Linked DNA regions of Caenorhabditis elegans. The protein of the gene in region 1 interacts with the protein of each later gene in a pairwise test. Each region holds a gene or a part of one and is shown in the gene's direction. Other genes may lie near its edges.

Evidence for each region.
Region 2: the proteins of odr-10 (region 1) and gpa-3 interact in a two-hybrid assay, tested with the Caenorhabditis elegans proteins (one study listed by BioGRID).

What each region holds. Positions count from the first base shown.
Region 1 is NC_003284.9:6,859,841-6,875,639, reverse strand, and holds odr-10 (Serpentine receptor class r-10), read left to right. Parts: upstream 1-9,700; 5' UTR 9,701-9,704; coding exon 9,705-9,899; intron 9,900-9,946; coding exon 9,947-10,110; intron 10,111-10,356; coding exon 10,357-10,491; intron 10,492-10,533; coding exon 10,534-10,600; intron 10,601-10,642; coding exon 10,643-10,717; intron 10,718-10,761; coding exon 10,762-10,887; intron 10,888-10,931; coding exon 10,932-11,109; intron 11,110-11,158; coding exon 11,159-11,238; 3' UTR 11,239-11,325; downstream 11,326-15,799. Other genes in the region: col-173 (Nematode cuticle collagen N-terminal domain-containing protein), read left to right, coding at 30-332; F41C6.4 (Peptidase_M13 domain-containing protein), read left to right, coding at 825-904, 947-1,180, 1,223-1,934, 1,983-2,138; C53B7.6 (uncharacterized protein), read left to right, coding at 6,871-7,008; nep-4 (Peptidase M13 C-terminal domain-containing protein), read left to right, coding at 12,226-12,311, 12,357-12,490, 12,561-12,649, 13,112-13,267, 13,312-13,638, 13,891-14,046, 14,099-14,212, 14,256-14,327 and 1 more; Neuronal immunoglobulin domain-containing protein rig-3, read right to left, coding at 15,088-15,212, 15,259-15,345, 15,397-15,612. UniProt on the Caenorhabditis elegans protein: An odorant receptor which affects chemotaxis to the volatile odorant diacetyl. Specifies AWA neuronal cell fate via the odr-7 pathway.
Region 2 is NC_003283.11:9,353,630-9,369,428, reverse strand, and holds gpa-3 (Guanine nucleotide-binding protein alpha-3 subunit), read left to right. Parts: upstream 1-9,654; 5' UTR 9,655-9,678; coding exon 9,679-9,796; intron 9,797-10,547; coding exon 10,548-10,893; intron 10,894-10,947; coding exon 10,948-11,076; intron 11,077-11,122; coding exon 11,123-11,252; intron 11,253-11,306; coding exon 11,307-11,460; intron 11,461-11,506; coding exon 11,507-11,683; exon of another isoform or gene 11,684-11,697; intron 11,698-12,358; coding exon 12,359-12,366; 3' UTR 12,367-12,850; downstream 12,851-15,799. Other genes in the region: ttr-49 (Transthyretin-like family protein), read left to right, coding at 12,924-13,065, 13,415-13,797; ttr-40 (Transthyretin-like family protein), read left to right, coding at 13,963-14,110, 14,540-14,679, 14,726-14,860; srx-46 (7TM GPCR serpentine receptor class x (Srx) domain-containing protein), read right to left, coding at 14,932-15,100, 15,149-15,279, 15,329-15,635, 15,678-15,799. UniProt on the Caenorhabditis elegans protein: Guanine nucleotide-binding proteins (G proteins) are involved as modulators or transducers in various transmembrane signaling systems. Promotes transcription of 3',5'-cyclic phosphodiesterases pde-1 and pde-5, leading to reduced cGMP levels in sensory neurons.

The sequences.
Region 1 (15,799 bases):
ATAATAACATTGTTAAAAATAAAATTTAGGGACCACCTGGAGAAACTGGAGATGAAGGAGAAGGCGGTCCAGATGGAATTCCAATGGAGAAAAAATCACCTCCAGGCCCACGTGGACCACCAGGACCGGCTGGACCAGATGGACCACAAGGACCAGAAGGAAGATCTGGAAAGCAGGGACCACCGGGACCAACAGGTCAGGAAGGAGAAGAGGGTGTCATTGGAGAGCCAGGAAAACCGGGAGAACCAGGAAAATCAGGAGCAGCTGGAGCTCGAGGACCTGCTGGACCTTGCAACCACTGTCCAAATCCCAGAACTGCACCGGGATATTAAGATTTTATCAAAATCATTTCTGTACATTTGTTTTCACCAAACCTCGATCACTTTTCAATTTTATCGCCACGGCTCAACTAACCAAGATGGTGCCTTAATTTATTGTCTTTCAACATTGTTTATAAATAAGTTGTTATTTCTACCTCCTTTAATTTAAAATTTGATAATATGATATATAGGTAAGGGAAAATTAAAAATTAAAACAGTTATAAGATTCAAATTTACCAAGGTTTCTAGAGACACTGGCTTGCAACCAACATAAGACATTTGCCACATGAATGCACATTTCAGAAGATTCTGAAAGGATAAAACATTTTTTGTTGTTTTGTGTGTGTGTTTTTTTTTGTTAAGAATGAAAGGAAAAATCAAGGTACTGAACCTCTTTGTGAAAATTCTAAAAGTAACTGTTCAAAAGGTTTTTAGTTCGAATGGTTATTTGTTTGGAATAAACTATTTAAGACTAGTACATCGTTCAGGTGATGTCGTGGAACCATGGTTCTGAAAAGTGTTTTATTTTTCTATCTGATAATCAATTCGACATGCGCATACGATTTTTTTCGAGATGCAATAAAGTAGGTTTTTCTACATACCTTTTCAAAAATCTATTTCTTCAGCTTAATCGATCAGTCGTCGGATCCGTGTGACGATTTTTACAGACACGCATGTCCCGTCGGCGACTATGATTTTTTAGTTCTCATGAAATATGCTCCCATATTTAAAGAATTGGAGACTAGCCAAGAAGAGAGTGCCTGGGAAAATTTGAAAATAGAGGAAGCTTTGAACAATATTAAACCTGGAGAGATTGAGAATGAAATATCCGCTTATTTCGAACGAGTTTTTCTGGACATGTGAGTTTGTTACTAACTTAATTCAAAAACCGCAATTTTTAGGTGTCAAAACAATGATCCTGCAATGACCACATTTCTTCTCCGAACACAGCAAATGTTATCTCATGAAATGTCCACAAAATGTCGGGCTGAAAACTGCTTGCTACGTCTTGGAGGAGATTCTAACTGCACAAGAGCAGCCAATGATTTTAAGTCACGCGTCGCCAAGAAAACTGATTCATCTCACTATCAGGAATATGTTTTGAAATTGAGAGAAAACATTGCGGGATGGAAAAACAAAACCAGAGCCGTAAATATCCTTTTGGATGGCAACTTCAAAGTCGGAGTTGATAATATTAACAGTTTCTTGATGAATATGGTTGATGTGCTTTTGCAATGGATTCAGGTGTATAAATATATTGCCAAAAATCCGTTTGAATTGATTTTGCAGGAAACACCTTGGGTTAATGATCAGAAAATTAACAGAGCGCTTGAAGCAGTTGCAAGGGACTTATTCGTGATTGATGAATATGGAATTCAACTGAGAGAGAATATAGATGCGCTTATGAAAACCGAGCAAGACTTTTTGAAATGCTCTGCGGATTTTTCAGGAAAACATGACTTGTTTTGTTCAATATATAGTTACCATTTTATGTTTAATGGTAGAACAACAACTGTTCTTCATTTCGGCTACGATGCAACAAATAGACATCCATATATTTATTTTGGTATGCCTTTCATCGCACGTGCCGCGAATTCAGAAATGGCTGCTAATGTGAGCGTGTTTTTAAATTTATCATTGAATTAATTTTGTTTCTAATAGCTCGGACTGGCCGGTTACGTTGTTGGACACGAATTAAGCCATTCTCTTATCGAAAATCCATCTAAATCTTATCTTCTTCCATATTCTTCGGCGGAAGCAATCAACTGTATACAAACTCAGTACAATAATACATGCGCTGAATTTAAAGAGGTTTGATGGGACATTATAATATTCATTTGAAATGTATTATGTTATCTGAAATGACACATTACATTAATTTGAAAAATAGATGGCCATTTCACAATTGGTCTGCAGGGACCTCTAAATCATCTCGATTTTCTTAGAATAAACTGTAATCGACTTACTTGTGCCCGTGTTCAGACTGGTATTGATTTATGAGTCAATTATGAAAAATTAATGCATATTATAAAATTTTCTCGTAAATTACTGGGGTTTTGATATTTCTACCACAAACCTCTACCGGGCAATTCGAACTCTTGTGAGGCAAAAGAAAAGTCGATCAAACTTCGAATTATAGACGAAGCTCAATCTAGTGAGATCTTACGGTTGGAGAATATTCCGTCTAACGTCCAACGGCACGTACTGGGATCCTCATCTCAAAACAAACGTGGCTGCAAATAAAGATTATTAAGGCGAAAATGTAAACTGGTTCCGTGAACCAAATCCGTAATTTTTTCCTTTCCATTTAAACATGAAAAAGCTTCCTGGTACCACCAAAAACAGGCACAAGGGTCGACCTGCGTATGTAGTAGACCGACACCGACTGCCCGCTCTGGTCATACATGTCGGAAACTATGAACTCACCTGCTGAACAGCGACTTACCGTTTAAAAGCGACATATTCAGAATATGACAGACGGCCTCATGGGGGAAAACATAGCGTACGTGCTTCGCACTTTGGAATAGTAGAAATGTGGGGCGGGAGGGTGGGAAACCAACACGTAGAATGATGACAATCCGCCGGTGCGCCGAGGAAAGATTTCGTCGCGTCGGGACCCATCGCTCACTAAAGTCGATGCGCCTTTAAGCTGGCGCTACGATATTCGCTCCGCTTTCTCGGGGAAAACATAAAATTCTAGTTTCGCTTCGCTCTCCGAGAATTAGTTTTCCCCGATCAAACTCCGCTCTAAAATGTTAAACTCGCGTTATATGGTATTACGGGTTTATTGTTTGGGATTTAGTGTGGTATAGGGTAGAACAAGCAAAGCCGGGGGCTAAAGATGTAAAAGACTTAGTGTCTCGTCCATCCGATTGGTGAAAAACCGATATGTCCACCACATAAATTTCTAACCAGATAACAGCCCTTCAATACCCATCTCAGTAAAACACTGATCGTTACCCAGTAGAAACCTGTGCAGTAGAAATAATTCCCATTAAAGGCGGGCCACAATCTGTCTGAAACTGTCGTAAAGTATCCATACTAGAGCCAATCGTCTCGGGCTACTTCGACTCACACCTGAATAAGTCCTGACAAGGAGAATAGCTAATTGGAAAACAAATTACTCAACAACCTGCGAGTATCCTCCCCAGTCTTGAGAAACTCTTACGAAACCTGAGTTACTCTTACATAGCCCTGCATATCTCTTACGTAATGGTAGGTGACGGAATATGATTCGACATTAAAATACCTGGGAATCGCGTGAGCAACGAAAGCGATGAAATATAGAGCTAATTTTACGTATACCGGACCAATCGATCGCCGTATATAAAAGCCGAGCCTTGATGTAGCAGACGACGAATAGCCGTCTTTGTGCGTAAACTCGATATAACGTTAGGTCGTCCGTCTATCAAAAAAGGATAAACACTGAAAACAGAATGAATAGCGCCGGAATTCCACTCCGTTCCTGTCTAACCATCTACATAAACTGCAGCGATTGCTTCGTAAACTTGCGCAACTCATACGTAATCTGCGTCGTCGATAGCGTGAGAAGAAAAAAGGTTGAACCGGATGTCATGAAAATCGAAAAAGTGGGCGATAAAGTCTACACGGAATACACAGCTACGCAATTGCAAAACGCGCGGCATAACTAAAGAAAAATCCTCTCCTTATACGCTTCATCTTGAAATACCTGACGACGATTAACCCGGAGCTCGGTAAGATAGAAATATCGGATCTTCTGGCTATTTGTGCAAATACAAGGTTTTCCGAGGATCCAATTGGAAATCGGACTCCCAGTATGGTCTAGTGCCACTCTAACGTAGACCTGATCCACTCTTGCGTAGACCTGCGTGAATCCTTCGTAGACTTGCGCTACTCCTTCGAGGACCTGGACGTCTTCTTTGTAGGCTTGCTCTACTCTTCCGTAGACTTGAGCCAATCCTACTTAAAACGGTAGTAGAAGATGAAGCAGAAAAGAAGAACGGGATACCTTGAAAATCCGACTAAAAACGGAAATCATTGAGACTCACGGAGTCGACTCGTACTCATAAACACTCAGACCTGGCTCGACCGGTCAAAAGAAATGCGATGGAAACGCAAGACAATATATCTCACCCGACGAAAGATGTCGCATTAAACTGATAAGAAGGCCTGCCGGGGCCTGAAATCGTACTTTCGCGATAAAGAATTGCTCTTTCTGCGATGTGAACTCCGGCAACGTGGTAACCACAATGAAAAACATACATAAAATTCGGGTCGCCCGTTTAATGCGACATCTTTCGTCGGGTGAGATATATTGTCTTGCGTTTCCATCGCATTTCTTTTGACCGGTCGAGCCAGGTCTGAGTGTTTATGAGTACGAGTCGACTCCGTGAGTCTCAATGATTTCCGTTTTTAGTCGGATTTTCAAGGTATCCCGTTCTTCTTTTCTGCTTCATCTTCTACTACCGTTTTAAGTAGGATTGGCTCAAGTCTACGGAAGAGTAGAGCAAGCCTACAAAGAAGACGTCCAGGTCCTCGAAGGAGTAGCGCAAGTCTACGAAGGATTCACGCAGGTCTACGCAAGAGTGGATCAGGTCTACGTTAGAGTGGCACTAGACCATACTGGGAGTCCGATTTCCAATTGGATCCTCGGAAAACCTTGTATTTGCACAAATAGCCAGAAGATCCGATATTTCTATCTTACCGAGCTCCGGGTTAATCGTCGTCAGGTATTTCAAGATGAAGCGTATAAGGAGAGGATTTTTCTTTAGTTATGCCGCGCGTTTTGCAATTGCGTAGCTGTGTATTCCGTGTAGACTTTATCGCCCACTTTTTCGATTTTCATGACATCCGGTTCAACCTTTTTTCTTCTCACGCTATCGACGACGCAGATTACGTATGAGTTGCGCAAGTTTACGAAGCAATCGCTGCAGTTTATGTAGATGGTTAGACAGGAACGGAGTGGAATTCCGGCGCTATTCATTCTGTTTTCAGTGTTTATCCTTTTGTAGATAGACGGACGACCTAACGTTATATCGAGTTTACGCACAAAGACGGCTATTCGTCGTCTGCTACATCAAGGCTCGGCTTTTATATACGGAGATCGATTGGTCCGGTATACGTAAAATTAGCTCTATATTTCATCGCTTTCGTTGCTCACGCGATTCCCAGGTATTTTAATGTCGAATCATATTCCGTCACCTACCATTACGTAAGAGATATGCAGGGCTATGTAAGAGTAACTCAGGTTTCGTAAGAGTTTTCTCAAGACTGGGGAGGATACTCGCAGGTTGTTGAGTAATTTGTTTTCCAATTAGCTATTCTCCTTGTCAGGACTTATTCAGGTGTGAGTCGAAGTAGCCCGAGACGATTGGCTCTAGTATGGATACTTTACGACAGTTTCAGACAGATTGTGGCCCGCCTTTAATGGGAATTATTTCTACTGCACAGGTTTCTACTGGGTAACGATCAGTGTTTTACTGAGATGGGTATTGAAGGGCTGTTATCTGGTTAGAAATTTATGTGGTGGACATATCGGTTTTTCACCAATCGGATGGACGAGACACTAAGTCTTTTACATCTTTAGCCCCCGGCTTTGCTTGTTCTACCCTATACCACACTAAATCCCAAACAATAAACCCGTAATACCATATAACGCGAGTTTAACATTTTAGAGCGGAGTTTGATCGGGAAAACTAATTCTCGGAGAGCGAAGCGAAACTAGAATTTTATGTTTTCCCCGAGAAAGCGGAGCGAATATCGTAGCGCCAGCTTAAAGGCGCATCGACTTTAGTGAGCGATGGGTCCCGACGCGACGAAATCTTTCCTCGGCGCACCGGCGGATTGTCATCATTCTACGTGTTGGTTTCCCACCCTCCCGCCCCACATTTCTACTATTCCAAAGTGCGAAGCACGTACGCTATGTTTTCCCCCATGAGGCCGTCTGTCATATTCTGAATATGTCGCTTTTAAACGGTAAGTCGCTGTTCAGCAGGTGAGTTCATAGTTTCCGACATGTATGACCAGAGCGGGCAGTCGGTGTCGGTCTACTACATACGCAGGTCGACCCTTGTGCCTGTTTTTGGTGGTACCAGGAAGCTTTTTCATGTTTAAATGGAAAGGAAAAAATTACGGATTTGGTTCACGGAACCAGTTTACATTTTCGCCTTAATGATCTTTATTTGCAGCCACGTTTGTTTTGAGATGAGGATCCCAGTACGTGCCGTTGGACGTTAGACGGAATATTCTCCAACCGTAAGATCTCACTAGATTGAGCTTCGTCTATAATTCGAAGTTTGATCGACTTTTCTTTTGCCTCACAAGAGTTCGAATTGCCCGGTAGAGGTTTGTGGTAGAAATATCAAAACCCCAGTAATTTACGAGAAAATTTTATAATATGCATTAATTTTTCATAATTGACTCATAAATCAATACCAGTCTGAACACGGGCTCAAGTAAGTCGATTACAGTTTATTCTAAGAAAATCGAGATGATTTAGAGGTCCCTGCAGACCAATTGTGAAATGGCCATCTATTTTTCAAATTAATGTAATGTGTCATTTCAGATTATGTATTATATTGCTTCAGCCGACAGTCAACAGAGTCAACGAGGCAGATCACAGGCCGAAGCCCCAGAGTTCTTGACAGAGAAGTGCCCATTCGTTGGAGTGAAGAGCACCCTCGAGCAAGTCGGGACGCCGAGATGACATCGTTTCTCCGGACCCATGGAAGAGAAGAAAAGACGAAGTTTTAGGAACATTGCTCGAAACCGCTCGGTCCGTAAACGACGAAGCCTATTCGTTGCAGTGCTGACGGTAGCAGGGAAGTTGTTTACATAAAATATTAAGAACCGTTAAATTATTTAATAGACACAGTAATTCGGTTCATAGTTTTCAGTTTTCCCCCACGTCAGACACCATCGATCAGTCACCATGTGCCATCGCCGAGCGGACTCAGGCCGTACAATACGAGGAACACACCATACGAGGAACGATCGGACCGTCTACGATACTACTCGGATATATTAATTACCCGTTTTGAAATCTTCGAGGCCCGTTTATCAAATTCTAATTTGGGCGCCACGCGCCCAAATCCCCATTATTTATCACATTTATCACGTCCTATACCACACTAAATCCCAAACAATAAACCCGTAATACCATATAACGCGAGTTTAACATTTTAGAGCGGAGTTTGATCGGGGAAAACTAATTCTCGGAGAGCGAAGCGAAACTAGAATAACTTTTCTTAACCAATACATATTCTACTGTCTATTAATGTGTTTTCTATAGTTTTATTTTCAATAACGTTTATGAAAAAAGGAAAGACACTGTGTCAGTACTACTTTCGTTAAATCTTCACGGTTTGTGCAGATGTCCCTAACATGTTGTCGTCATACACAGGGAATTGAACCAGTGGGTGCCGGCACGCTAATCGAACGCGCTAACCGCAAGGCCACCAGTGTCAAGAGTTTATAATGCGAACCTTTTGTTCATATTCTTCGACACTTCAGTAGTCCCTTGAAAATTTCAATTAAAGGATATTAAGCAGTTTTTTGAAAGGTTGGGTAACTGTAATTTTTGTAAATACCTATACCAATGAATAAATGATGTTTCATTACAGAAAACCGCTAGATCTATACTTTCCAAGTATCAAGTACAGAATTACATCTGACAAGGGAAGTATTTCAACTTAATCCCGGACTTCTGAATGAAACCTATGTCATTTCGAAGAAGACTCTTTAAGTAGGTCCCTACAAAACAATTAGCGGCAGAGGAGCACTTTGACCTGGCAAAATATCGCTCTGAAAACTTTTCAGTGCATTTTTTCACAACTTTCAAGGCCCGTAGAATGGCTCCAAATGTGAATTTTTGTAGATTTTTGATAATTTCTAGGATGCTCAGGGGCCGGAGAGCACTCGGAATTTTTTTGGAATTTTTTAAACTTTTCGAAAAAATCTGAAATTTTTTGAATAAGTCCATGACAAAATTTTTCAGTGAATATAATTTTTTTTTTAAATTCAGAAAAGTTGTCAAAGTTATTTAATATCAAAATTGGGTGTTTTTACACAATGAAAAAATTTTTGAGATTTTTCGGAGTTGCAAAAACAAATTTTGGAAAAAATCGGCACCCGGAGTCGAACCCCAGACTTAAGAAATATTAATCAAACTCGCTAACCACTCGGTCATTCGATGACACTTTTTTTGTAAATGAAATAAATGACAAAAACCAGAAAACGTGACACTTTGATATCTACTTAAATATATAGGGACGTGCGAAATAGCATTGGAAAATGAGAGGACGCAGAGAAAAATTTTCAGAGCGACTTTTTTCCAGTTCAAAGTGCTCCTCTGCCGCTACATTTTTTGGAGGGGCCTACTTAAAGAAGGAGTATCGTCAATGGGAAAATTGTTTTAAAATGTAGTATTTGTACTCAAACTTTCAATTATCGCAAAAGAAAAACGGAAAAAATCCGTTAACATTCAGCATTTAGCCGTTGAAATCGACGAAAGTGGCTGAAAGTGGCTGAATTTGAATTTCGCGCGCAAATGAATCCTAGGCCACCACGCAACTTTTAGGCCATATTCGTAAACAAAATATTGATTTAAATGTAATTTTTCGAACTTTAATTCGCTTTTCTTTCTGGAAAAGTTCAAGAAAACTGGGAAGAAGAAATTGTATTGAGTATTTTTTCAAAGGACAATACCAAAACAAATAAAAATTCGAAAGATCGTCGTGGCCTAGGATTTCTGTAGTTAATTTTTAAAGATTTTTTCGACTTAAAATGCTGAATCTAAGCGGATTCTCCCGTTTTTGTTTTGTAATATTCTTAAGTTTGAGCACGAATACTACATTTTAAAACAATTTTCCCATTGACGATACTCCTTCTTTAAAGGGTCTTCTTCAAAATGGCATAGGTTTCATTCAGAAGTCCGGGATTATGTTGAAATGCTTCCCTTGTGAGTAGGCAGTAAATACATCCAATTTCACATAATCGAAGAGAGATCATTCATTTAGGATACATTGTGTTGTGATTCATGACATTTACTACAACACAACCAGCTGATGTGTGTGATTCAGGTTTTAATTGTAGCATCTTGTGATTGGAATAATAAATTCAATATATTTTCCCAATTCTGAATTTGTGGATACAAACGTATTATTTTTAACTGAATACCTCGTGAAATCAGATTTCAGATTTTGAAAACAATATATCTGACTATAAGTTGCGTATGTAGACAAATTCCAGGAAAATAATGGCTCAAACGACACGCCCCTGGCTTCAAGTTACTATAAAATAGGTTAGGAACAAAGCACATATAACCATGTATTCAGTTTAATTAATTTTTTGTTGGCGGTGGCATGAAATTCTCATAATTTCATTAAGATACCTTACAGCTCCATGTCGGGAGAATTGTGGATTACCCTAGTTGACACAGCGGACATTGTCGGCGTCACCCTCACCTTCTGTGTCAACATTGTTCTTCTCGGACTTCTGAAAACACGTGGAAAAAACTTGGGCACTTATAAATATCTCATGGCGTTTTTCTCAGTATTCTCGATTTTTTACGCCATCATCGAGTTCATATTACGACCTGTAGGCTAAACTGTTGAACTTGAAGTTAATAATGTATTAAATTTCAGATAATGCATATTGAGAACACCACTTTCTTTTTGATCTCAAGGAAAAGATTCAACTACTCCACCAAACTTGGAAAAATCAACTCTGCGTTTTACTGTGCTTGTTTTGCCACCAGTTTTGTTGTCTCAGGAGTTCACTTTGTTTATCGATATTTTGCAACTTGCAAGTAAGTACAATTGTAAAACGGGCTAAGTTTCGTATTTCTTTTGTTAGTATTGCTCTATTAGTACAGTATCCAATAGGAACAGCATTATAAATAAACTGCAAATGATCGGTTGAAAAAATGACTTGTGGAACCTTGCTGTAAAGGTGCAGCACTAATGTAGGATGCAAAACTTGTAGGGGTGGACTATTAGCTCTCTATTATTAGTATACATACTTTTAGATTAAAATACTATAACACCCTTCACAGACCGAATCTACTTCGTTTGTTCAACTTGCCAACTCTTCTACTTTGGCCACTTGGTTGCAGTGTACCCGTGACAATGTGGGCTAGTGTCTCATATTTTTTGTATCCAGATACCGAGTACACGGAAGCGGCTGTCACGTATGAGATCTATGAATTGTAGCTAGGAATTTTTTTTTTCAGCAATGTACTAAATAACCACTATAACTGGATCAAAAAGGAGAATGTATCGTACATTGCATACGTCTATGTAAGTTGATAACACGGAAACCATCAAACTAGATACTTTCAGTACCAATACGAAAACGGAGTAAGGCATATCTACCTCAAAAACTTGCTTGGATGCTTTGTTCATTACTTTGTCATGGTAAGCGGAGATGTTCCTAACATAGTTATTCAACAAGGTTTTAGTCGATGACGTTTGTTGTGATGTTCTACTGCGGATATGCCACGTGGAAAACTATGAATGAACACAAGGATGTATCTGATAGAACTCGAGCGCTACAGAAACAACTTTTCAAAGCTTTAGTTCTTCAGGTATCCCGATCTGAAACTAGAAACATGGTATAAGATGAATTCAGACACTCATCCCAACTATCTTCATGTACGCCCCAACTGGAGTCATGTTCATCGCACCGTTTTTTGACGTGAATTTGAATGCAAACGCCAATTTCATTGTGTTTTGCTCATTTCTGTACCCGGGACTCGATCCACTCATTCTGATTTTGATCATTCGTGATTTCCGAAGAACAATATTCAGTAAGAAGAAAACATATATATTACAAATTGACAAATTGCAAAATTTCAGATTTCTTGTGTGGAAAGAAAAACAGTGTTGATGAATCCCGCTCGACAACAAGAGCCAATTTGTCTCAAGTTCCGACGTGATGAATGTTTTTTGAAATACTGAGAATCGCACAATTGAGAAATTTTAATTTCATTGGACTTGTCATGAGAATGAAGTCATGTTATACAGTTTCAGGATTAAAAAGGATTAAAGGACGATCCGTTCTTCAAGTGCTATGCACTGCGGATCTGGGATTCAGGTACACTGCCTGGTGGTGATCCCTCTAAAAAAAACTTTTACTATATTTGGGCATTTTAGAACTAAAAGAGAAGTTAGAAGCAACTGACTTGTAGATAATGAAAAAGCTGAAAAAAGCTGAAAATCTATAAAAAGAGAACAAATTAGTCTGCTTTCGGTATGTTACCTGCTTATGATCTATGCTTGGCTCAATTTCTGAAAAGTAATCAGACTCTCAGTTTTTTTTTACTTCATCAAGTTGACTACAACATTTAAAAGTAACATGTTTGATGATGGTCGTTTTTATATTAAAAAAAAGGAATGAAGAGATATAGAAAATTATTTGAAAGTGGTAATAAAAATTGAAAACTTAATTTTGATGCTTTTGTGGTGTACAAATTCTCCAACGCTTTAAATGGAAGTTGTTATTATAAAAATGATATTAACTTTTAGGAGCTGTTAGTACTAGAAAGTAGAAACTAGAAAGCACTAGAAAATTTGGCTGATGATACCTTTTTTGTACTTGGCTTCTAAACCAAAATTAAAAAATTAAGAAAGAAACAACAAAATATTTTTAAAACATTCACCATTAAATTTTTGATTGGAACATGGAGCAATTGAACATTGTACGTACAATACAGTAATCTAAACATTTGAACACAAACATTAGGATAGCGGTTTCTTGAATTTGACAAAAGGTATGAGGAATTGAAAAAAAAAACATGAAAAACGTGAAAACTTTCCTTTGATGTCTTTGTTGAATCTTCATTTTCTAATTTTTTTCTATAGAAGTTGTTGTTACCAGAGTCCTATTTATTCGCAAATGTTGCCAGTTACTGTCTTTTTCCGAAATGTGGCTGATAATACTTTTTTGTTTTCTACCGACCCAAAATGCGTATGAACATCCGTTCGATTTTATTGAAAATGCGCTAGAGAAGTACACAATCAACAGTGGAAACCCGCAATATTTATATGTTTTCAGAATAGTGGACTGGAAATCAGATCCCTGTGATGATTTTTACCGTCATGCTTGTCCAGTTGGCAGCATTGAAGACATTATAAAAGTATCGATGCAACCTTTAAAAGATGCATTAAATCATTCGTGGAAGCAGAAAGGTAATAATATTTTTCCTGGCCTGGCGAAGAAGGTATGTACTTTCAAGTTGAATTGAGTTTTTGAGTTCAGGCCAACGAAACGAGGGAAAAGTCTATAATATCAACTTTCGAAGATCCCACATATGCTGCCACTTTTTTTGCAAATTATTATTTATCTATGTAAGTCTGGTATGAAATAAAAAACATGTACCAAGTGTGAGGATCTTGTAGAAACGAACCCTAACGTGAGAACAAGCTAAATGTTGAAGGGAAACTAGCTAATTCACGAATAAATTCAGTTTTCCAACAACTAATCAGTAATTACACTTTAGATGCAATTCCTCCTATCTTCCAACTCAGTTGTTCACTTCCAAGTTTGAGAAAATAATCACTAACTTGTACAAAGAAGAAACATTCAGTTTGTACAATTTGAAAAGTTTACGGTGTAGTATGACCACTGAGGACATAACAGTATTACTCACACAGTACTTTAATACGTCGTCGGAAAGTTTTGTGAGTGTTGCTATTTTTTATGAAACTTGTCAGATTGTTTTACAAATCTCTGTGGAACTTTATTTTGAAGCACAGAGCAATTTGTTTCTAATATTACATACAAAAAAAAACAAAAAAATAAGATTTCAGTATGACTATCAATATAGATTTATCAATTATGTCACTTTTTACGACGGAATGTTGCAACCATTATATTACCACGTTGAAGCAAATGTTACTGACGGAATTAACGAAATTCACCAAATGATGGAGGACATGGTAGAATTAGGGAATATTTGGCTTGAGGTAAACACTGAATGTGTGATTTTATACCAATTTAACATTTTTAGAAAACTCCGTGGGTTATTAACAATAACCTAACCGAGGAAATGAAGAATATTACAAATGCAATTAAAATGCCAGTGTCACTGACCAAATATACCAACTTTATTTACAATTTGCTATCTCCAATAGAAACTGATTTTCTGAATTGTGTTTCCGAATTTGAAGGAATTCAAAACAATACTCTATTTTGCTTATTTTATTCAGCGAAGATATTCGTACGCACACGTGGTAGCTATTTCATAGATGATAACGGCTACAATGCAGAAGGAACAATTTACTTTGGTTTTCCAAATTATTATCATACTACATATGGAAACTGGAGAGCATCAAAAGTAAGCCTAATACTTTTATGTTTTGTATCTTTTGTCTGTCAAATTTTTTGAACCATTCAAGCAATAAAAATACAAGTAGCGTACATTATTCTCTATTACTCTTGCAGTTTCTGCTAGTTTTCCACACTAACAAGCTAATCAAAAAATTAGTCTGCCTTTAATAGTATTGCCGTGTTTAAATGTCGGGCACATCTACAGCTTGATATAGACTTCCATGAAAGACTAATAGAGGAAATATGGACTATTTTTCAGCTGGGATACACAGGAACACGAGTAGGTCATGAAATCGGCCATACTTTCATTGAACACAGTATCAATCCTGACGGTCTTCCGTATTTTTCAAAGCCAGCTGAGGATTGCGTTCAGAATCAATATTTAAAGACTTGCAATGAATATTACGAAGGGGAAGTGAGTATTAAATAATTCAATTTTTCACCTGACATATTGTTTTTTGTTTAAGGTTCCTGATGCTTGCAATACTTCAGACTATACATTTGATGATAATGGTGCTGATGTTTTTGGTCTGCAACTTGCATATGCAATACTGGAGAGAGATTTGAGCGACCAATTGAGAGTGCGTTGTATCACTTTTCTTATTTTGCTATAAACAATTTAAGGAGCAAGCTGATGGTTTAAAAATCACAAACGAACAATTGTTGTTCTATTCATTTGCCTACAGATTTTGCAGGGTTAGTACATAAAATTAACATTTTTGACTGTCTGATAATTGAGGGATCAAAATCCAATACAACAGATGGCTCGCATTCGCATCACAATGTTCGAATTAATGCTGTTGCACAAATGCCAGGATTTCAGCAAGCATTTAATTGTGCAAGTGACTCAAGAATGATGAAGTCTGCAACAAAACAGTGCGTCATTTATGGTAACAATGCTCCGGAGACACGCAAATAGTTGAATGGAGATAGCTGACGTTCAGTTATTTATCGTTTCACTCTACATTTAGTTTTGATTCAAATTTTATTCGCTTGTTTTTAAATTTCATATAAATTTGTAGACACTTTTCATTATTCAAAAATAAAAGTCTTGCTAACACTCTTTGATAAATTGTTCGATAGTTTATGGTATTTAAAGTTTATTCAATAAACGAAAAGCCATAACATTATTACTTATTATGTTTTTAAAAAATCCAAAAACATTTTGAACCGTACATTTTTCAGCTGAACTAGAGAGAACGAACTGAAAATCTATAAAAAGAGAAGGAATTGCGTTTAAAATGCATTTCACGCGTTAATGTGATAATGAATTCTATAATTATTGTTTAAAAGTGCAAAATGAAAGAATAGGAAAATTTCGAGGACGAGATAGGGGATGATATTGATTAATTAGATGAAGTTATGGATAGAAAAATAGAAGATTCACCGATTTACAATTTTGACAATAGAGGGGGAAATGAGATAATGAACTCTAATCACAAAAAAACATCAAAGATTAGATAAAAAGACAGACAAAAAATAACGTGGCAAGGGCAAGAGGAAATTTGCTGTCAGATGCCGAATCCATCATTTCCAAATCGTGATCATCTAACGTTTTTGCACGCAATACCACACTATCTCCTGTAATAGAGTCGTTTACAACTTGTTTCAGAATTATTATTCCTACCAAATCCAGCTTCATTAATCTGTCGGAATCTCCAGACATATTCATGTCCATGTCTTAGCCCATTAATTTCGTAAATTCCATCATCCTCTGTAACATAATTTGAATAAATTTTTGTAATCTAGGTTGAAAATCACTCACTGATATTTCTCTGCATGAAAATTGAGTGACTCTTCCAGTAGGCATCAGAAATATCCTCATCGGACACTCCAGAAGCTTCGGCGGTTCCGGCTCGGAGGTGGCGAATTTCAACGGCGGTCATTGGAAGATCTGGATCTCGATCGATAGATTCTACTTTCCAGATGATGGAGTGCCTCTTGTCCTCGATAAGAGTTACTTTTGGCTCAGCTGGGGCATCTGAAAATGGAGCATTAGTAATGGAAAAAACTGATAAAAGTAGGGCTGGCAATAGGGAAAAAATTGACTTCCAATGGTCTGAATTTGGAAAACCGGACTTTTGTTCACTCAGAATTCGGCAGTTAGTAATCTGAAGGTAACGAATTTATGCCCTGCTTTATCCAGATTCTCAGTGATATGGTCTTTT
Region 2 (15,799 bases), on another chromosome or scaffold:
GAAAAAATTACAGGCTGCGCCATGAGTATGGTAACACGTTCGCGGCTCTATAGCTTCCCGTGTGGAGAGAGTTATTACCTCAATTTGTACAAGTTTTGTTCTCCATAAAATACTGACCAGATTAACGTTTTGAATTTTTAAAATATCCCCATCCGCATCGCTGCAGGCCTTCAGAACTTTTGAGATCACGATCTTGATGGCACGCAAGAAGGCATTCTGCGGGAGTTCTACATTTTTTTCGACGAATCCATCAAGTTTCTTACAAGTTTTTATAGTTCAAAGAATGCTCTTGGTCTAGAGATTCTTTAAGAACAAAAATTCAAAAAATTTCTGTCATGGTATTTTTTTAATGGAATGTGGCAGTAGAATGAAACAGTCGCCAGAAAGATGGATGTGAGCGGCGGCAGCAGTATGTAGAAAAATTCATTTTAGTACTTTTCGGCACGTTTTGACCTGACTTCCCAGAATTTTGATAGAAAATTAAGCTTAGATGATTTTGTGGGTCGTTACGCCTCGTGAAACCAAAAAAAACTGAGAAAAATTTCGCAAAGTTGAATTCATGAAACATTTAAAGGTTCTTGCTAGGCGCCAGTGTCGACACAGAAAATTTTTATATGCTACAAAAACAGTCAAAACCGCTTTTTCACTTCTTTAACTTTAAATTTAACATAAAAATAAAACATCTGAAAATTATTGGCGAGCGTGGGAGGTGCATTTGTGTTGGAAGTGCCGCGTGCCAAAACAGCGTTTCGGCGAAAGGGTTTGTCAGATTGCCGAGGCGATTAAGATCGCACCTTATGAGGAAACATTACAAATTTTAGGTCAAATTGAAGGAAATTTATCCAGCTATCAGAATTCGATAGAAAAATGTACGTATGACGTGGCAGTCGCGCGAAAAGCTCATGTAAAAGAGCGCATCTCGTGTTACCCTACTTTTGGCGCACCCTGTATAATGGTCATTGCCATCTTTATGTATGAAAAAATTTACTATTTTGAAATTAAGAAACTTGCATCAACTTATTATTCTCTTTTGCAGAATAATTTTTCAGCTAACCAATGAAATGTCATAAACAAGAAAAGTGAAATCTCCTTTTATCTGTTTTTTAGTTTTTTCGGGCGTACCTGTTCACACCCGAGAATTCGCTGAAGCCCAGAAACTCCCAGGGCCAACACATCAGGCAAAGACTGTCATCGTTGTCATCAAAACGTGCATAGTCTTCCATTACAATCTCTATTATCAAACTTACTGAAAACCAGTTTTAAAAATCGATACTTTTAAAGTGAAGCGATTGCAAGATAATAACTCAATAAAACAACTTTTTCGTACTTGTGTATTATAAAAAAAACATTTTCTGAAATCGAGAGGTCCCAAGGACGCTGCAGGCCACCATTTTGCAAACAAAAAAAGTTTTTTCCGCTTTTTACCAATTTTAAACAAAATCAAATAAATCATTCTTGTCCATGAACTAACTTAAATTAAAATTTAAAAAAAAACAACAACATTTTCTCAATTTAACAGGTCATAACATAATTATACTTTCTCAATTTAACTAATCATTTCTGCACGAGTACAACACCTACCCACGGATAAGCACAAAGTCTAAAAAATACAAATATCAATTGAAAATCAAATGGCAAGTAGCCTAAAATTTATTTGCCACAATAAATTCTGTCATAAATATGAGAAAGAGGAATTCCAGTTGAAGAGACCTTTTCTTAATAATTATAGCCTGTTACTCACGTGATTGTCTGATAAGTTTTGAGAGTTATACTTCTTCAGATTCTTTTTTTCAATCAAAAAATATAACGAGATCATGTGTTTCAATGTGCACATATAACCTAAACTCTTAATTGTTTTAATGTTCCAGTTTTTACTAAGTTCAAGATTGTCTCTTTGCCACACTTTTAATTTGAATATAGACCCGTACATCGTTTTTATTTTGAACGATTTTCGTAATGCGTGAACCCTTGGTTTACGAAAAATGATATGAAACACAGGTTTACAACTCGAAAATCTGCCAATTTCTGTGTTGGGAGACTTTGCCAATGTTCTAAACGCATCTTTTTTATACTAGTTCCCTATACTACAATTGACAAAAGTTCTTTTTGAAAAATTCTCTATCTGTTGCTGATGTGTCTGAAGTTTACCTGATGAATCTAAGAACTACACAGAATATATACTTTTAATCAGTGAGTTCAAGTTTTTTCTCTTCCTCTTTCATCCATTTCCACTTCGATGATTTTTCATGTGACAAAAAGAGAAATTTTAATAAAAATGAAATAATTCAAATGATTCATCCCATTATCTCTTGAACACGTGGGAACAGGAGTTGTCATATTCAGATAATGAAATTCTCCACCCTCTTTCGTTTAAATAATCTTCGATCAACTCTTGCTCAAAACACACGTTTTGCAATCTTCCGGGAACCAATTTCCCACGTTTTACCTATTCTTGTGATGTATACATGTATTTTTAATATTCTCATCCCAAGCTATGCACATTCTCCAGAAGCCCGCTGATCTTTTGAGCGTCACAAGTAAACTTCCCCACAAGAGGTGGTGCTTGTTCTCAATACACATATATTGTTATCAAACACAGCTAAGAAAGTGAGAGCATGTCGATGAAGTTACCATGACGACCGTTATGATTTACCTGCTTTTTTTCGTTTCGAGTCGTCTTGCTTTGCCAACCTTCTATTGGCTCAGCTCTTTCTAGCCTCCCAAGCCGTCATTCTCATATTGCGACACTTTTTGAAATCTAATCATTTTCTTTCGGTTCACAGCTTTCTCTTAGATCCTGTTAATACATACAAGATTGGCTGTTTTCGTCATAGATTTACATTGAAGATTTATATTATAAGATTGGAATGTTTAAGGTTTTTTGCTGTTATTCCTTCACTTACTGTTTCAGACAGTTGATACCGAAAATTGAAAAGCAGACATTTTGAAAGTCCATGTTACGCAAGCTCTAAACCCCTGATCATATGATTTGACAATAACAACTGGTAATGATGTAGACATGACGAATGAAATTCACTAATTATAAGTCACAAGTAGCATAACAAGAAAAAAGTTCCGTTTTTTACTTAACCAGATTTGATTCATGAACAAATTCTCCTGTTTTTACGATCAGATAGATGGGTTTTAAAACCTGAATCATAATTATTATTCATATAAACCTTTTCTTTTTGAAAATTAATATGATTAGGGGTATTTCAAAAGAAAATAATTTTCATGTCTTATAGTCATGCAAAAACTTTATCATTTTTATTATTTCCAACTGCTGATGTTTTCGAAACAAACCTTTCTAGAAATACCCTAACGGTAAATACGGCAGAATTGCTTTTTAGAAAACTTAGCTATTAAGTCTAGAGAATATTATTATCTCCTTCGTGCCCAAATTTATACAAGAATATATTTTTCGAGTAGATTTCAACTCCAAAATAGAGATAGTAGAACTAATCATGATAATTTTATATGTACATTCGTCACTGTAACTTTTTTAATTGTCTGGGTTTCTGCACTGTGAACTTGATGTCTCACAACTTGTCAGAGGACACTTATCGTGATCAAAAATCAGACACGGTGCCGGCGTCACGAAAATGTCATCGCCTCAAGGATCCTGATCGACACAAATTAACAAGGCACACGGGATATCAGAGTGTACCCTCTTGGTTTGATCTTACGGGGAATAGAATTTAGGGATCAGAAGAATTATAGAAGTTTGAAGAAGGGAGGATATATTATCATCAAAAACAAAGTTTTTAAAAAGTTGTTGATCGGAATAAATACCAAGCGTTATGCTTCATTGAAGTTATTCCAAAAACACCATAAGGTAAATTCCTTTATTGAGAAATATGTTGATTTTTCATTTACCTATTCCTTACTTATCTCTTTGGTTTTTTTTTGATCTGTGAATGAATACAAATCCCAATCTTTATCTTTTTTTACCTTCTTTATTTCTTCTTGACTCATTTTCTAGACAGATGCTACCAAGTCTCTTGATTTTGTGGTTTAATCAGTTATGCACATTTTTCACTACCAACTTTGCATTTTTATTTGAGATGTATGAGTTCTGAGAACACCAGATTAATTTTAATATCTACCACAACTCTGAAAAGGTTGTCCCATCATTTTCCAGATTAAGAAATTATTTTTTAGAACGACGCTTGATCTCGTAGTTTCTTTTGTACCTGAAAACGTTTTTCCCACTTGAAGAATAGAAAAATGCACGTAGTAAATTGAATTTTTGTGAGATATAATCTAGCAATATTATTTTGTTATGTGTTGTTTTTCTCATGGTTATAATAAAATTTTTAACTTTTCCTCGCGAAATTAATTCTGAAAACTTATGGTAATTTTTTGAGCTATAAATTACAGAAAGTCTACCAAGAAATCATAAATGTTCTTGGGAATTTTGGAATAGGAATAATAAATTCTGTCAAGTATAAATCAAATATCAAAGGTCTTGGCAAAGAAAGTTCTCGTATGATTTCATTCAATTTCTAATTTTTCACACAGGATTTTTTCCCAGCTCTGAATAAAAAACGTAAAGTTAATCAAAATGTGAATTCTGAACAAAATTTTATGATTTTTAATACAGTAAAACTTTATAGACTAGCTACAAGTAATGTTTGATTTAGATTCGTTTCGGCAACGTTAAAGCACCTGGCTACATCACATTTGTAAGCTACAGAACGGCAAATCAATTTGAGCATTGTTTCTAATTGTAAGAAAAATTATATTAAAAATACTTATGTACTTAAGACTTAAGAAAAATACTTAAGACAGTTACGAATTCAAAAAAAAAAGCTCTCAAATCATGCTCTCAAACTCGTCCCAATTTGCGTATATGGCTATAGACATATCGTTTCTGTTTTCGGTTGCTCACGTTATCACCTCGATTGCTCAATATGTGTCTGTTTTGATTACTTGTTTCATGTGATTACATTCATTCTGTTAGTGAACCACATAATTATCTTGGGAAAATGAAAGTTATTAAATCAGAATGACAACTTTGAACTATCAATATTAATAAATTTGATCAAAAAACCCCACTCATTCCAGCGTCGTCTCTCCCCAGCTGGAATAGTGTCAATTCAAGAATTTTTCTTATTTAAAGTGTTTTAATCTTTGATCCGTCATTCATTCCCATATTTAATCATCTTCTGAAACATTCTAGAATTTTCGAATACCACGTAATCTCATCGTTACTGCTCATTGAAGCAATATGTCTTGAAACTGAACAAAATGATCTTTTTTCAGCTCTTGTGACGTCACTGACATTGATTTTTCCCCATTTAATTTTATTTCTCTGTCTTTTCTTATTTGTAATAAGTTTCTAGACTAGGCTGTTTTCTAGAAAAGCGTGCGAATCTAATTAAAAACCCAAAATTTTTTGTCTGGAGTTGGAATGATTTCAAATTTTTTTTTTGGAAAAATTGATCGAAATTTCTTTTGAAAAAATATTTGATTTTAATGATTTTTAAAGTCCAACTTGTAGCATAAAATGAATATTTTACTTTTATACCCTCTATCGCCTTTCAGAAAGAAATTAATGTCTAGGATGTAGTTAGTTGCACTTGTTCTATTGATACTCCAAGAAACGAATTGGTTCAAGTATATTCAAAAGCTTATAGAATGATCAACTGAGGGTATATTTTAGTTTGAAAAATGCATGTAGTGTAAAAGTACAATGTAATGCGATCATTCAAACCAGAAATATTCATATGAGTCAACGTTTTGAAATACTTGTTATGTCTGTTATTAAATGGTTCAATAGATTTTTGGTTCTTCCATATTTTTAATTAGAATAGGAAGTTGATTATTTTAATTAACATTTAAATTTTCCGAACTTTTTAATTTTCAAGTTTCTAAAGCATTCATCCTCAAAGTTCCAAGATAAAAGAAACTGGCACGTTTTTAACAGCCAATTTTCCTTTTTTGAATACGAGAGATGCTGGAAGCCCGTGTTTACATGAGGAGCAGTACCAAATTCAAATAACTTTTTTTTCGAAAATGATTAGTTTCAGACTTATATTTTCATCAATGATAGTCTGCAATCTTCTAGTTCATATCTGTATGAAAAGTACATTTAATAAGGCTGATTCAGTTTAGATATCAAAAACAGCTGATCCAATATTTTGACGCCATATTCAAAAGTTTATGCTTCCTGTATACATATTAACACTCTTCTTGAATTTCATTGATTCTTAATCTTTTGCTCTAAAGTATGCATATCCATTGTTTGATCAAATGTTCTCAAGTAATCTTGTTGATTGAACTCTTTGATTTTTTTTGATTAAAAGGGAAAATAATGAAAAATTGATTTTATAGAAGTTGAAGTAAATCTGAAATCACTCAACTTTTTAGGTGGAAAATTAATTATTTCAGTTTCCTATAACCTTTATCAAAAATTCAGCAGTCAAGAAGTTTCTGCATGGCGCGTGAACTTACGAAATTTTAATTTCAAAGATCTATTGAATATGTAGTTGTCTCCAACTATTCAATTTTTCAACGTTAATCTAAATTTCCAATATTAATTGTTTGAAATTCATTCTTTGATTATTTTTCTTCACTTCGTAATTCTGATGAAACTTTTCATTAGATTCTTATTGAAAATTGCATAAGATCTACGAAGAAAGTAATATCAATTGGCATTCTAGCAGGATTTCAATCCCACACATTATTATGTCAGGAACCCTTTAATTTCCTTTCTGACTTCTTTTTATCCATCTCGAAAACGTTTCCTTTGCCTTTTTCTATTAATTGTTTGAATTTATTTTTGTTACATCGTTTATCGGGATTTCTTATTTTTAAGGTATAATTTGATTTCTTTTTTGAGCATGTCTTAAATAAAATAAGTTAGTATTTACAAGTCTATATCAATACTTTATTTATAACATTTTCTTTTTACCTCATTAATTCAATTGAATAATAACAATGCAATGCGGAACAAATTAGAAAAGAAAAGTTGATTTCAATCAAACAAAAAATCAGGCTCCCCTAGTATATGTGATAATAAAAATAAAATAATTCATACTTGCTGGTTGTCCGTGGAGATATGCCTACAACTTATAATTAGCCACGATTTACTATTGAGGAAACAATTTTTTAATTTTTCTCTCATTTTTTAAAGTTTATTTTATGAACTTTCAAGAAAGCTTGTATGTCTAGCTTGATTTTTAAAAAAAATTAAAATTTTTAAAGAGTACATTCATTTGAAAACAATCAATAACATCTGATCTTATCTTATTGTTACCATTTTCTGTGTTTTTCAATCGAAATTTTTTGTATTTATGATAAATATTCCTTGAATTTGGAATCACTTTGCAAAAAATAATTGTAACTCTCTCAAATATCAAATGAATCCAGGAATACTCTTCTACTTGCTTAAAAGAGGTTACAACCAACTCGTCTTGCACCATTTTAATCCAGTACAGGTTAATCCTGTTTCACATTTGAAAGTTTCTGGTTAGTCTGGAATTGCTTTGTAAGATTAATTTCAATCTCATACCGAATTCTATTTCTAGCTATCTTCCAGATGTTCCTATGACGCTTCATTCAAGAAAAAACTGATAGAATACATTTCTTGCTGTATTCTTTGTATCCTTGTTTCATAGTCCTTGCCTTTTTTAATCCCTCATTGTATTCCACATAGGTATTGTGACTGTGTGACGTAAACAGAAATTGCTCTAACTCTTTTCTCACCAATATTTTTATTCTCTTTCATACACTCACACACACGCACCGGTGAGCTCTCACTTCACTGATTTGCACCTGTTATTTTCCGATGACAACGACACCATGCGCCCATGATTTTCAGAATTATGTGTAGCTGAAGGGAGCCATTTTTAACCAATTTCGTTGTTATTTCATTTTTTGTGATTTGATTTTTACGATATTCTTATGGCGGTTGAGAAAAAGAAAATTTAAATTTGGTGGCAAGTAAATGGGTTTTTAGATTTATTCATTTGAACTCAAATAGATAAAATTAATGAAAATGCTGACAAATACAAATTCATAATCAATGTGTGTTAGTTTTGAAATTTGTGAAAAACATAGTTGTCAAGGATATTTGTAAACTTTCTAACAAACTTTTCCGTCGAGTTGTATAATCCCTGGCAGATGATTTTTTTTTTGTAAAACCCCATCAAAATTACTTGCAAACTTAGAAATTTGGGGAAATACATGTGATTTCCCCCGAAGACATTTGATTTGGGACACATTGCGAAAACTCACGTAAATACTAACTTTTTCGTTGTTTTTTTTAAGAAACAAAACAGTTTTTAGAACTTCCTTACAAGTATTTATTCTAGTTGTCTAAAAACATTTTTTTGAAAAACAAAACTTTTTTTGTTATTTTGAAAAGTTTCAATATCTAATTACCCAGTGGAGACTAGAAAATTCATCATTAAAATAAGTCATGTTCATCTTTTTTAAAGTAATATTTAAGTATTTTTCAAATTTTGAATTTTATCAATAAATATCGATCACAAACCTCATTTTTGCATTTCTAAAAGTTAGCGTTTCTAAAAGTAAATGCCGTGGGATATTAAGAATCTTAACACTCTCGCCAACTACAGCTCTATCCTTCCTTGACTACTAAACTAGAACTTTCCGTCACTTGACGCCTCCTGAAATTTTATTTTGCAAATAGATGTTTGCACTTTTCGTACTGACCACTCTGACCTCAATGATCGTAGACGAGGTGATTTCTGATATTATATGTTCATATTGAGAAACTTGGTTCAATGTTCAATTACAATTTTTAGAATCTAACTAATTAGACAAATTTGAAATTTCCCAATCGCACAGATTTTGGTGGGTTGTATCAACCGTTGTAATTTTCACTACAAAAATCAATTTTAATACTCGTATTGATTGTGGACCCTCAAATACTCCTGGAAACATTATGCATTCATTTTGAGTCTATTTTTGTATGCTTCTTTTTTATGTCTAAGCATTCGTCGACATTTGAAATATGCGTGAAATAATTTTCCAGTGGAACTAGAGCTGGGGGGCTTCCTATTGATTTTTGATTGATTTTTGAAAAAGACTTTCGACCACGAATATCAATAAAATAATCTAAGTTTCCGGGAAGATCTGAAACATCAAAAAGAAACGACTGGAACTATTCCATCGAACAATAGTCTATCTTTCGTTCATTTAGATGTGAAATTCATGATGATGTACAAATTGATTCTATTCGAAAGATTAATGTATTATTGAACATTTTCAGCTGAATCGAACATCTTTTATCACTCATTATTATGATATTTGTTCATTTTCAATGCGTCACAGCTTGGTGTCGTTTTGTTGAATTGGCAGCACCATTTCTTGTGAAAAAATGCTTGCTGTCGTCTTTCATTATTGTCGAGGTGAAACAGAAAAAGAAAGAGACACACGAGATATCAACAACACAAAATTCTGAATATCTGACTTTGGCTCTGACCGCCGTCGCCGCCGCCCGCCCGCTAACGAGCATTTTCTCATTTTCTTCTCATTTACCCCGTGTCTACTTCTTTTCTTATTTTTCGTTTCGTTAAACTTCGGTTGTCGCATAATCAGGCCTGCTTTTCATTTTTCACTTTTTGTTTGAACTTTTGGGCTTTTTAGAGTTGTGCTTCATTCAAATCTATATTCAAATTACAGAAAATTATTAGCCAAAGAACAATTATGGGATTATGCCAATCTGCAGAGGACAAAGAACTGACGTTGAAATCAAAAGCGATCGATAAGGAAATGATGCAGAACCATATGTCACAGCAAAAAGTTGTGAAGCTTCTGCTTTTGGGTAAAATTTTAAAACTTATTTTTTGTATTCAGCTTCGCGCAGTCAGAAATTGTTTTACGGTAATCATATGACTCATTGAGAACTTGTTTGACTTTTTGATAATACGCCGGAATCAAATAATTACAAGCAAAACAAAAGTGTCGTGTGAGAAATTGTTACCCGCTTTTGTTGAAAAGTCCAAAAAATTTAATTTATGAGAACGTTGGGATAAAAAAATATTATCGTTTCAGAAGAAATGTTCCCTTCTGTTCTCGAACACTTTTTCAAAAAATTACTTCAAATTTGTAATAACTGTGATTAATAATTCAGAGAATGAAAGAGCTGTGATTTTTAAATACTATATTTACAGACAAAAAGGACAAGTCAGAGAAAATGAGAAATGATCAGTAATAAGAATAAAGAACATCAACTCAATTTTCTCGAAATCATATAAAATAATTATTAAAGTTTTAAAGTTTCTTCTCTCACCCGGCTTCTTGCAAACACTACTTTTTTAACTGCCCGCAAAAATTTTCATGTGTTCTAAATATTAATAATCAAATTATTTATCAAGTTATAATTCTCTTTTGAAGCTTATCAAAGAACTACAAACTACGTAGAACCCGTTGATGTCAAATTTTCAGATATCAAGTGTGCGTAGCCTTAGGTTTTCAGCTGTTTCTTTCATTTGATTCTGAGAATTTAGAAGTTGAAAAATAAATTAGCTGGGGTTTGTGACAAGTTGGCAAAATTAAACTCTTACTAATTTCAGGTGCTGGAGAATGTGGAAAAAGTACGGTTCTGAAACAAATGAGGATTCTTCACGATCACGGATTTACTGCAGAAGAGGCTGAACAACAGAAAAGTGTCGTTTTCAATAATACCCTTCAAGCAATGACTGCAATTCTGAAAGGAATGGAAGCACTTCGAATGACCTTTGATAAGCCAATTCGAGAAAATGATGCAAAATTTGTGATGGAGTCTCATAAAATGCTCCAAGAAGCGAAAGTTTTCCCAGAAGAATTAGCAAATGCCATTCAAGCATTATGGAATGATAAAGCCGTTCAGCAAGTTATTGCAAAAGGAAATGAGTTCCAAATGCCTGAAAGTGCACCACAGTAAGATTTTACTGTACTTCTAGAACTTCAAGATTCACATTTATATTTTTTTAGTTTTCTATCAAGTCTTGATCGTATCAAGTTACCCGATTATAATCCAACTGAACAGGATATTCTTCTGTCTAGAATCAAGACAACTGGAATTGTTGAAGTTAAATTTCAAATGAAAAGTGTAGATTTTAGGTGTGAATAGTTAATGATTCATGAGTTTGCAAGACATGAGTTTCAGGGTATTTGACGTTGGAGGTCAACGATCAGAGAGAAAGAAATGGATTCATTGTTTTGAAGATGTTAATGCAATTATTTTCATCGCTGCAATTTCAGAATATGATCAAGTTCTGTTTGAAGATGAGACGACGGTTAGAACAAGGAAAACTTTATGGTTTATTTGAGAATTGTTTTTTTTTTTGCAGAATCGAATGATTGAATCAATGAGGCTGTTTGAATCAATTTGTAATTCACGATGGTTCATCAATACTTCAATGATTCTTTTCTTAAATAAGAAGGATTTGTTTGCCGAGAAGATTAAAAGAACTTCAATTAAATCCGCATTCCCAGACTATAAAGGTAAGATTTAATTGAACTTTTTCACACTCTGCCCATATATTTTCAGGTGCACAAACCTACGACGAATCGTGTCGATATATTGAGGAAAAGTTTGATGGATTGAATGCAAATCCAGAAAAGACGATTTACATGCATCAGACGTGTGCAACAGATACAGATCAAGTACAAATGATTTTGGACTCAGTGATTGATATGATTATCCAGGCCAACTTGCAAGGATGCGGTTTGTACTGAAATGTTTGTGCCTTTCTCTCTCTCTCTCTTTCTCTCGCTATTTCTATCACTTGGAAATACACATAGGGAAAGCATTTTCAGAAAAAAAACTGGATTACTTTCTGTTAAGAAGTAACCTGAAAATATACTTAATCGAAATTTTAAGACAAAACATGGTAAAGAAGAAACCATGGGTAATGCCAGGTCAATTCTTTGTTATGACCACACTCCGCTTTTTGCCAAAAAGATTCCGCTCTCTTGCTTTTGATACAAGATTGAGTGCAACTCTCCCATCAAAGTCTTGCCAAAACATTGTCACAAATCGGTTACCAAAATTGTATTTTTGAGCAAAAAGTGGGCGACGAGTTGGTAACACGTGTTTTGAAAGTGACTTAAATATTATATTTCAATCGCGTTTTACAACAATACTGTTGAAAAGTTAAAAGCTGAAACGTATCGTAGTAAAATGCAATAGGTTGTCCAGTTTCGCTATTATATGTTTTTCAAACTTTCAAGGGAATAATACTGAAACTTAATTTTGAAGTTAGAATTATCCAGTTTTTCTTCTGGAAACCAAGAATTTCCTTCTAGACTGTCCATAAAAACCACATTTTTGTTTGCGTCTTTCCTGATTTTTCCTCTACACAATTATGTTCGTTTAAACTCACCGTTCTTTTGCTTTCAGGCCTCTAAAATGCGATTGCTGCTCCTATGTGTATCTTCTTTATTTCCATCTCGTCTTCTCCTCAACTTCTTCTACAGAAATCTATTTCCGACGGGTATCTACCATTTAAAAATCATTAATTTATATGTGCATAATCTTTTATTTACTAACACATTCCCATTTCTAGAATCTTTTCTCTCTGGTGGTGTCATCTTTTAGTTTTTATACATTTTCGTGTTCTTCTAGTTTTTCAACAAAACAACTTTTTATGTTTTCCCGAGAGTTTATAATATTCCCCTTCTCATGTATTCCATTCGATGTGGCCGGTGTCTTTAATTATTGTGACACAGTTGAAATTCCCCAACTTCAATAGTCTCTTTAAATATGTTCCCCTTTGAATATATATTTGTCCCTTATTTTTTCTTTTCGAATGTGGTGCAAAAGTGCATAACATTTTCTTATGTAACCCAATTTGATCAAAACCTGAAAACAATAAAAATTTTAAATAAGACAACATTTTGAGCATCACTGATAAAAACAAACAAATGATAAGGAGAACCAAAAAAGGAATCAGTCAGTCAATTAAATGCCATTGATTAGTTATTTCTGTTTTTTGTCTCTTTTATTCACAGTCATAAATTCGCATTCTCTGACTGTCAAAGGACGTCTACTTTGTGCAGAATATCCAGCATCAGCAGTTACAGTCAAGCTTTTGAAGAACTCTGAAAGTGAGTCTATTTATCGGATTTGGTTTATTAATTGACACTTATACTATTACAGAAATAGTTTCCTTTAACTGTTTGTACTATTTAAACATTATCGTAACGGCCAATTTTTCATTTATTTTTTTAAAGAAACATCTTAAACTTTTTTTTTAATTAAAAAAAAATGTTCAAAAAAAACAGTTCACAGTCGAACGATTTTTCACGAATCTCAATAAATTTGAACTCATTTGATAGACGTTTCAGAAAATTGCAAAGTGAAAAATGTAGCTGTAAAACTAAATTTTAATATAAAATTGTTATATCTGTAAATAGATCGCATTTTTTATCTGTTTTCGAATAAATGAGTTTTCAGAATCAATAGTCGACGAAACACATGCAGACAAACAAGGAAACTTTCAGCTGAGTGCAGAAACAACTGAAAAAGACTACGTACCAATTATTGCAGTTTATCATGATTGTGATGATGGTGTAAAACCTGGACAACGGAAACTGAAATTTCAGATTCCAAAGTACTATGTCGGATCTGGAAACACTTTTGATTTGGGAGAATTCAATTTAGAAACTAGAGTGAAGCACAATGAAGAACGACAAAAACATGTGGATAAGTTGAGAATTCGTCGAGAACATTGGAAGAAGATCCGGAATTTGAGAAACGTCGAAATTGAAAAAATAACTACAAAAAATGTTTTTAAAGGAAGAGATGAAGAACCAGACGATAGAAATGATCCATGGTAGTTTGAATTCAATAAATATTTTAATAAACATGTGTATATTGTTCTTATTTAATTTTAAAGTGTTCCGCTGAACATAAAACATTTGTATCTTACGGTTTCAATTTGGAAACAAGTTATAAACATAAATGATTATCAGTATGATTACATTATTTATTGTTTAGTACAAATGAACTATTGTTTTGCATCGATAATTGTAATTTCACTTGGATATTCTCTTGCATTCCGTCTTCAAGGTGTAGCAGTCAAAGGGAAATTGGCATGTGGAGATAAGCCTTGGAAGAATGCAAAAATAAAGTTATACGACATTGATACAAGTTAGTTTTTTATTCAAAGTCTACGTGGCCCATTAAGAACAAAAGAGTCATGAATTGTCAGTAATGTTTGCTAACTGTTTTTCAATATCGAGACAAAAAATTTAGGCCTGGGTTAGGTGCAATTAGTCCTGAAAATTCAAATAAGAGAGTGAGCAAAAAAGAGTCGTTTGATGTGCCCGTTCTAGAAAATGTTAAATGTTTTTTTCATGAACTTTTTCATGAACTAATACTTCAAAAATCGAGCTCAATGTCATCGATAATTTTTGAAACAATATTTGTTTGTAACTTGTAACACAACGTTTTGATTAAATATGTTTAAAATTTCGAATGAGGCGGGTGTTTCTGAGTCATGCAAACGTGGAATGTGAAACTTCAAAAACTTGTGATAAATATGATGCGAACTATATTCTTCAAAATGGATTTTCTTAGATCAAGGTGATGCAGATGATCTTCTCGATGAGAAGTATACTGATAAAGACGGAGAATTTCGAGTTGATGGAACAACACGTGAACTGACACCAATTGATCCAGTTTTATACATTTATCATGATTGTGAAGATGGAATTAAAGTAGGTTCCTTTTCCGGTTGTTAGAATGTCACACTTTATATTTTAGCCGTGCCAAAAGAAGATAACCTTCTTGATTCCAAAAAAATTTATTCACTTTGGGACTGCCACACAGTGGATGGATATTGGAGAACTTAATCTAGAATTGACATATCCAGAACAAGATAGAAGTTGTTATCATTAACTGCTTATATTTACATTTATTGAATTTTAATGAACATTCCGACACAAATATTTCCAGAAAAAGTGTTTTTTTTATCTTGCCGAAGCATTGATTGTGCTAGTTCTCGATCGGAATCCTCCAAGTGTACTTGTATCAACTCTTGATGCATAAAGAGCGGATTCAGTTCTATTACTGATCTTCTTCATTGAACATCTACGCAAGTAAGATCGAAAGTCCGAATTGCATGCAATGCTTATGGCTCTAAAAATCCAAAATTAGATAATTTCCGTCGTTGGCTTGTGATCTTACCCATCGCATGCATGAATGGTTGAGAATGCAAAGGTTGTCATGAAAAAGCGAACCCACGTGTCTTCAACTCTCGGTGAGATTATGAAATAACAAATTAGCTCAATACTGAACAAAACTCCTTGAAGACAGGTCTGAAACCATAGATCTTTGAAATTCAACAGTTTCTGTAGTATGACTCACTTGTACGAGGAAACAGATTTCTTTTGAATTCATCTGTTTACTCTTCGCATCATTTTTCGATTTCTTGTACATAAATCTTGCTTTACAAATCACAAATACATCAATTAGCACAATTATGAAGATTATGCTGATGTATTTACAGAAAATAGCGTAAAATGAGAAACTGACGCATTGATTTGACACATGGTACAAGAACATCCACATTTCAGTGCTCCAACTGTATTTACAACCGCTCAGCAAAAATATGATAACTGATGCAAATGCGTAGATATTGACAGATATTATCATGGGGCGAGTATATTTTTCACTGAAATTGTTTTTTTTTCAGTTCGTAAAATCTACTACTAACTTGTAGGTCTCAAATTTTAGTGGACTTGCGACAACGCAAAGACGATTCAGAGCAAGAAGTAAATGGGAAAGTACTGAAATATCATAACCCAATAGCATTGACAAGGAGATGTAATTGGAGTT